Linked DNA regions of Sus scrofa. The protein of the gene in region 1 purifies or fractionates together with the protein of each later gene. This does not show direct contact. Links are inferred from orthologs where the notes say so. Each region holds a gene or a part of one and is shown on either strand. Other genes may lie near its edges.

Region 1 (3,821 bases):
GGTATGACATCTCTATGCTTTCCTAAAGGAAAGACAGTCGAAGCCCCTAAGGCTGAGAGTGAATGAATATGATCTTCAGAGTAACTTCAGGATCGCTGCTGGTTTAGTACTATGTCAATTAAATGAAATTAAAGCGGACATCCTCTGGAAAGTTTTTTCTTTAAATACTTCCTGTATTAGAGCAGCATCAGCATCAGCCCACATATCTGAGAAGGGAATTACGAGATATTTCCAGAAAATAATCAAGAGTAAAATGGCAGACAGTTCTGTTAGTTGTAGCTATTTTACTCCATTTGTTTACAATTTAAAATTTGTAAGGTGGTTTTTCTTTGAAGGAAATTAAAGATGAAGCAAACAATTGTAGATCTTTTTAAAACACTCACCTGTTGTCTTAAAATGGTCAAAAATTAGTTTTAATCTGCTAGCCTTTCTTACATTTCCTAAAAATTTTCCATTTTCCTGAGTGTTTTTAGTCTCCTTTTCTGTGTGCTCCTTCCTTTTATTTGCTCTACCTATCATACAGTATTTTCACAAAAGGATGAGAGCCAGTGAAGATATGATAAAGGATTTAAGCAATTCCTTTTTTTTTTTTTTTTTTTGTCTTTTTGCTATTTCTTGGGCCGCTCCCATGGCATATGGAGGTTCCCAGGCTAGGGGTCGAATCGGAGCTGTAGCCACTGGCCTACGCCAGAGCCACAGCAACACGGGATCCAAGCTGTGTCTGCAACCTACACCACAGCTCACGGCAACGCCGGATCCTTTAACCCACTGAGCAAGAGCAGGGACCGAACCTGCAACCTCATGGTTCCTAGTCAGATTCGTTAACCACTGCGCCACGACGGGAACTCCGAGCAATTCCATTTTTAAAATTCTTTTATAACAGCTAGCCTTAAAATACAGAGTATTTTAATGAGATTGGTGCATTTCTAATTGATGAAAATAATTAATTCTAAAATTCTCCTAAAATTCCTGCTTGACTCTATCCCATGAAGTCTCTGTTGAGTGCATGTCCTTTTCTGATATGAGTATCATTAACTATTACATGTCAAGTTTCCAAAAAATGACATAAGAACCATTTCCCTCTGTCTTAGGGAGTAGAAAATGTATATACTCAGCATCAACCTTTCTTACATGAGACCTTGGACCATCTCATCAAAGGAAAGCTTAAGGAAAACCTATATCCTTATCTAGGCCCCAGCACACTCAGAGACAGGTAAGATAACAAAGATATTAATAATAAAAACCAGAAAAACTAAGAAAATGGGAAACTTAGGGTAATATAAGGGACTACAACTAAGGTTATATCATTCTATTTGTCCTTCCACGGTTGTTTCAGTTCTAAGATTCTTTCGGTGTTTCATGTGTCAGAGTTAGATTTAAATTTACCTGTTAACCTTGAAGCATCATTTCTTTTGGAATAAAGAAACCGTTGTTTTGAAGCTCCCCTACCCCCCCCCCCAACTTGTGTTCTGTCCTTTAATATCAGACCAGTTTCCTTATGCCATTTAAGGTTCAGTTCCATGGAATCTAGCATTTGGACTTTCAAACATTAAGGCCAAAAATAGATTTGCTGCTTGATTGCCATCCAGAGCAGGTTGTTACTATTTTTGGTGAGGACTGGACTTTGCGAAATGTGGCCAGCATAAAAACTGAGACCTAATTAACAAAGGCCATTCGTTACATGGGAGAAAAGGATGGCTTTCTTTTTAAGTATAAACTAAAGAAAACAATTAATTGTCACTATAGTCCAGTGGTTTGTTAGTGTTAATAAAAACAAAATTTGTCCAGAGCAATTGTGTAGGCCAGGCTTACTGTTTTGTTTTTTGGTTTTTTTGGCCTCACCTGCAGCATATGAACATTTTATATACACACAAATTCTACCCAGTTATAAATTATATTCTTGTGTATTTTTTATTGGGACACATTATAAAGAGCCTAATATATATGGCTGAATCCTGTTGGATAGATTGATATGAGCATTGTTATGGGTAGTGAAATTCTTCTATTTTTTTCAGCTAATCATAATCTAAGAGCCTTGGAAGACTAGTGTTATATAAATATAAGGAATTTTCTGAGAAAAATGTTTTTTGAGGTACATAAATAACTCTTTTACAATAAAAATATTTTTTTCACTTTTTTCCTTTTTTAAAAAAAACCTGGAAATTTGGTAACAGAACAGAAAAAAATATTTTTAAAAACCCAAGATTGAGAGGTATCCAAGCTGCATCTGCGACCTACACCACAGCTCACAGCAATGCCGGACCCTTAACCCACTGAGCAAGGCCAGAGATCAAACCCGCATCCTCATGGATACTAGTTGGGCCCATTATCACTGAGCTACAATGGGAACTCCTCTTATGAACTTCATATAAGAATTATTGAACAAGAAATTAGCCACTTATTGCTAAAGGGGCATAATAGAAGAGTATATTGTGGATGATTAGTTCATGACAGGAAACCTTTCTAATTTGGGTAATTCATTTCTAAACAAAGCTCAAAATGATGCTTTTCCAGCAAAATGAACATTCATCAGTTTTGGCATCTGTTAGCTTTGGGCACTATTATCTAAATATACATATAGTTAATAATTCAGTTGCTTCATCCTACTATATAAAAAAATTTTATTGAGTGCCTTTAATATGTCAAGAACTGCTGTAAATCCTGGGGAAACAGAAATGACAGGAAAGACAGGTACCTGCCCTTGAGGGACTTACATGAAGGAGACAGACAGTAAGCTAGTAGACAAATAAAGAATATAATTTGAATGAGGTAAGTGCTACTGAGGAAATAAGTAGAGTAATAAGCTATGAAGTAACTTTGTAGAGGTAGGGAGGGGTACTTTAGGTAGAGAGAACCTCTCTAAAGAAGTGATATTTAAGATGAGATTTGAATTACAAGAAAGAACCAATCACATAATGATTAGAGGAAAAGCATCACAAGAAGAGGGAACACCAGAACAGAGTTCTCGAAGAAAGAGAACTTGGCAAGTTCTTGGAACAGAAAGAAGTCCAGTATGGCTGGAGTATGGAGAGTAAGGAGGAAATAAGAAGTTGAGAAGATAAGTAGGTCTGGATCCCATAGAGTCTTATAGGCCCTGGTAAAGAGGTTTTTAAAAGTTTTTAAATATCATAGGAAGCCATTAAAGAGCTTTAAGCATGTAAATGACATGAACTGAATTATGTATTAAAAGTCGCTTTGTTGGGAGAATGGATTATTGAAGGCAAAATTAGAAGCAGAAAGTCTACCTAGCAGGTGACTGCAGTAGTCCAGGTAAGAATGAAAGTGGTTTGGATAAGGAGGCTGGGAGAGAAGGCAGAATCAATAGACTTATTTAATGAAGTATATTGAAGAAGAGAGAAGGTAAGAGAGAAGTCAAGAATAACTCTCAGGTTTGTGGGGGAGATCAAGAGTTCTGTTGTTAAGTTACAGATGCCTATTAGATAAGCAAGTGGAAATGTTAGATACCAAATTGGGAGTCAATAAGATTTTGGTGATTTAAAGCTATGGGAATTTTAAATCTCTAGGGAGAGAGCATAGAAAGAGAAAAGGAGAGCCCAGGACCAAGCACTGAATAGAGGATGTGGAGTCAGCAATGGAGATTGAGAAAGAGATAGCAAAGATAAGAAGAAAACCAGAAAAGCATGGTGTCCTAAGGACCAGGGAGCTAGTGGTACCCTGAGACCAATCTTCTAAGAGATTTATAAAAAAAAAAAAAAAGAAAAGAAAAGAAAAAAAAGAAAAGGTGAAAACAGTGAGGAATCCATCAGATTTGACAACATGGAGGTCTTTGATGACCTTATTCCCATTCCACTGAGTTTGGA
Region 2 (3,821 bases), on another chromosome or scaffold:
CATCTTACTAGCTTTTGTTATTTAAAGAGAGTCAGTGCTCTGAGAACTCAGATCCCACATTAAGCTGCTGCCCACTGCAACCAAAAAAAAAAAAAAAGAAAGAAAGAAAAGAAAAAAGAAAGATTGACAATGCTAAATTTTCAGGGTGTACTTTTAGAATGGATAAACAACAAGGTCTTACTCTGTAGTGGAGGGAATAGACCTGGGATAGACCATGGAAAAGGATATAAAAAGAGTTTAATTTCCTGCTGTGGCGCAACAGGATTGGTGGCATCTCTGGAGTGCTTGAATGTAGGTTCGATCCCTATCCTGGCACAGTGGTGTTGCTACAGCTGTGGTGTAGGTGACACCTGCAGTTCAGATCTGATCCCTAGCTCAGGAACTCCATATGTCACAGGGTGGCCAAAAAAGGAAAAAAAAGAATGTATATGTGTGTGTGTGTTGTGTGTGTGTGTCACTTTGCTGTATACCAGAAATTGGCACAACATTGTAAATCAACTGTAATTTTTTTTTTTTTTTTTTGTCTTTTTGCTATTTCTTGGGCCGCTCTCGCGGCATATGGAGGTTCCCAGGCTAGGGGTCGAATCGGAGCTGTAGCCACCGGCCTATGCCAGAGCCACAGCAATGCAGGATCCGAGCCGCGTCTGCAACCTACACCACAGCTCATGGCAACGCCGGATCCTTAACCCACTGAGCAAGGGCAGGGATCGAACCTGCAACCTCATGGTTCCTAGTCGGATTCGTTAACCACTGCGCCATGAAGCCATGATGGGAACTCCTATACTGGATCTCGCGTTGCTGTGCCTCTGGTGTAGGCCAGCAGCCTGGGAACCTCCATATTCCACGGGAGTGGCCCTAGAAAAAGCAAAAAAAAAAAAAAAAAGAAAATAGTAATTATCAGTGTGATTTTCCTATTAACTTGCCTATATCAACAACTGAAAGAAGTAACAAATTGCAAAAGGTCAAGTGAATGGCACATTTTATTTTATTTTGTTGTCTTTTTAGGGCCACACTCGAGGCATACTACATACCACCTACACCATAGCTCATGGCAACACTGAATCCTTAACCCACTAAGTGAGGCCGGGGGTTGTTAACCACTGAGCCACGACCAGAACTCCCGAATGGCACATTTTAAAAGTTAATGTTGGTTGGGAGTTCTGTTGTGGCTCAGCGGTAACAAACCTAACTAGTATCCATGAGGATTCAGGTTTGATCCCTGGACTCGCTCAGTGGGTTAAGAATCCAGCATTGCCCTGAGCTATGGTGTAGGTCGTGGACATGGCTCGGATTCTGAGTTGCTATGGCTGTGGTGTAGGCTGTTGGCTACAACTGTTATTTAGCCCCTAGCCTGGAAACTTCCATATGATGTGGGTGTGGCCCTAAGAAGTAATAAAATAAATCAATAAATAAATGTTAATGTTTATTGTCACCCCTAAGAATTCAAAATTTAAAAAAAAAATGGGGGGTAGTTCCCATCATGGTGCAGCGGAAACTAATCCGACTAGGAACTATGCGGTTGCAGGTTCGATCCCTGGCCTTGCTCAGTGGGTTAAGGATCTGACGTTGCTGTGAGCTATTGTGTAGGTCGCAGACGTGGCTTGGATCTGATGTTGCTGTGGCTGTGGTGTAAGCCAGCAGCTACAGCTCCGATTCGACCTCTAGCCTGGGAACTTTCATATGTCTTGGGTGTGGCCCTTAAAAGCAAAAAAAAAAAATTTTTTTTTTGGCCTCACTTGCGACATCTGGAAGTTCCCAGGCCAGTGACTAAACCTTTGGCAAAGCAGTGACAGTGCTGGATCCTTTAAGCCGTAGGCCACCAGAGAACTCCCTAAAATTAAAATTTAATTAGATGTTAGAGTATTAAGTTAGGGAAGAAAAGAAGTGTAGGTGGTTAAGAGTATAGCATATAAAAAACTCTAAATATGGTCGAGTGAATAGGCCATCACTGGGCAGAAGAAGTGAACTAAGTGCTGGAATGGGGAGGGCTGGGACCGGTTTTCCAGAGAGGAGACATTGAGCAGGAGTTATTTCAGACATGCCAACACAGCAAGCTACTTCCTTCCATTTGGGAGATTCGTCCTGGGTCTTGGCTGCTGGACTCAGGAAGTTACCAGTTTAACTAGCTCCCACAAGGCATCTATTCACATTTACATTGGAGGGCTATTTTGAGAAGGATTGTTCTTATTCTTATGAAAAATCATATTGTACCAACTTTGGAAGTATAGACAAGCATGGGAGTTTTTTTAAATTGCCCATAATGTTACTGCCCCTTTTTACTGAATAAAAATTCATGTGCCAGGCAGCATTCTAAGGATTTGATAAATTTTAAGTTACTTAATCCTGATTAACAATCCTGTTGGGGGAGTTCCCATCGTGGCTCAGTAGTTAATGAACTCGACCAGTATCCATGAGGACGTGGGTTTGATCCCTGGCCTCAGTGGCTTAAGGACCCTGCATTGCTGTGAACTGTGGTGTAAGTCAAAGATGCGGCTTGGATCTGGCATTGCTGTGGCCGTTGTGTAGGCCAGCGGCTATAGCTCTGGTTTGACCCCTGGCCTGGGGACTTCCATATGCCACAGGTACGGCCCTAAAAAAAGAAAAAAGAAATCCTGTTAGGTAGGTACTACTGTTTTACCTATTTTATATTCCAAGTTACAGAGAGGTTAAGGAACTTGTCCAGGGTCACACGGTGTGTGGCAGGATTGAAACTGGAGCACAGGCTGGCTCCAGTGTCCAGGCCCTGTCCTCAAGTACTTTCCTTTCGCATTTTGTGGTCCCAAGGTGACTGTGGTTAACAGTTTAGCAAATTTCCTTCCATTTGCTTTTCTAGTTTTAAAATTTATAGTAATACTCTGAAATCCTAGATTTTTTCCTTGCTTTTGAAATTCAAAGTAGAGAGGCTCCCCAGAGAAACAAGTCTTTTGTCTCCTACCTTCTCTTCTTTTAGGTGCAATGCGAAGCCATCTTTCCGACTTCAAAAAACACCGAGCTGCCAGAATTGACCATTATGTTGTCGAAGTCAATAAATTAATAATCAGGTTGGAGAAGGTAAATTTTGTTGTTTTAAGACACCTTTTCCTGCAAATTTTAGTTTTCTGGGGAGGGGGATATTTCATTTTCCCCATGTTATATACACTGTATATAACGGATGCTGGCAGGGAAACACCCCTTAAGTGGTGCTGAGGACATGGTGGAAGGTTCTAGCCTGGGCTGGTTTTACTGAAGGGGATGGCTCAAGTCAGCCACTGGCCACATACCTAGCTTTTCTCTTCCTTCCTCTGAAGCCCACTTGGCTACTGGACAGCCTTTCTGCCTTCAGATCCTTCCTTGTTGGAGTGTCCTGGCACAGTCATGCAGTGACATAGTGTGTGGTATCAAACAGCCTGCTAACCAGGCATGTGAGGGGTGTCCTGCCAGGGCCGGCATGCAGTGTGGGAACCCCTTGTCCTGTGGGATGAGAGTGCGTTTTCCATACCATGATCGCTTTATTTTACTTTGACCCTAGAAATGCTTGCTGTGTATAAGCTGGGTTGTGTGGTGGGCATGGTGGCAGCCACAGGTTCAGTTCCTCATGTGTACTTCGTAGGATTGTCTAGGAGGGTGGCGGGGGATCTGGGTGTCCTGGTGCTCTCATTAGCCACCACACCGCATCCTTGCCCACTGCTGGTTATTGCTTAAACAGGTAAGGACAGTAAAGAGATTGGAAATGGGTCCTGTGAAGGGAGGTACCTCTGTCCTCGATGAAATTACTTTTGTGACTTTGTGGGCCTGGGGACAACCAATAAGACTGAGCAATGCTGATGTGCTCATTCCCACTT

Evidence for each region.
Region 2: the proteins of VPS45 (region 1) and RBSN purify together in Homo sapiens (affinity purification with mass spectrometry; 4 studies listed by BioGRID and IntAct, counting the BioPlex papers as one, with this or other methods). This does not show direct contact. The link is inferred for Sus scrofa from reciprocal best matches to the Homo sapiens genes VPS45 and RBSN.

Annotation. Positions count from the first base shown.
Region 1 is NC_010446.5:98,979,272-98,983,092, reverse strand, and holds part of VPS45 (vacuolar protein sorting-associated protein 45), read left to right. Parts: coding exon 1-1; intron 2-1,091; coding exon 1,092-1,213; intron 1,214-3,821. UniProt on the Homo sapiens protein: May play a role in vesicle-mediated protein trafficking from the Golgi stack through the trans-Golgi network.
Region 2 is NC_010455.5:69,413,939-69,417,759, forward strand, and holds part of RBSN (rabenosyn-5), read left to right. Parts: intron 1-2,950; coding exon 2,951-3,051; intron 3,052-3,821. UniProt on the Homo sapiens protein: Rab4/Rab5 effector protein acting in early endocytic membrane fusion and membrane trafficking of recycling endosomes. Required for endosome fusion either homotypically or with clathrin coated vesicles.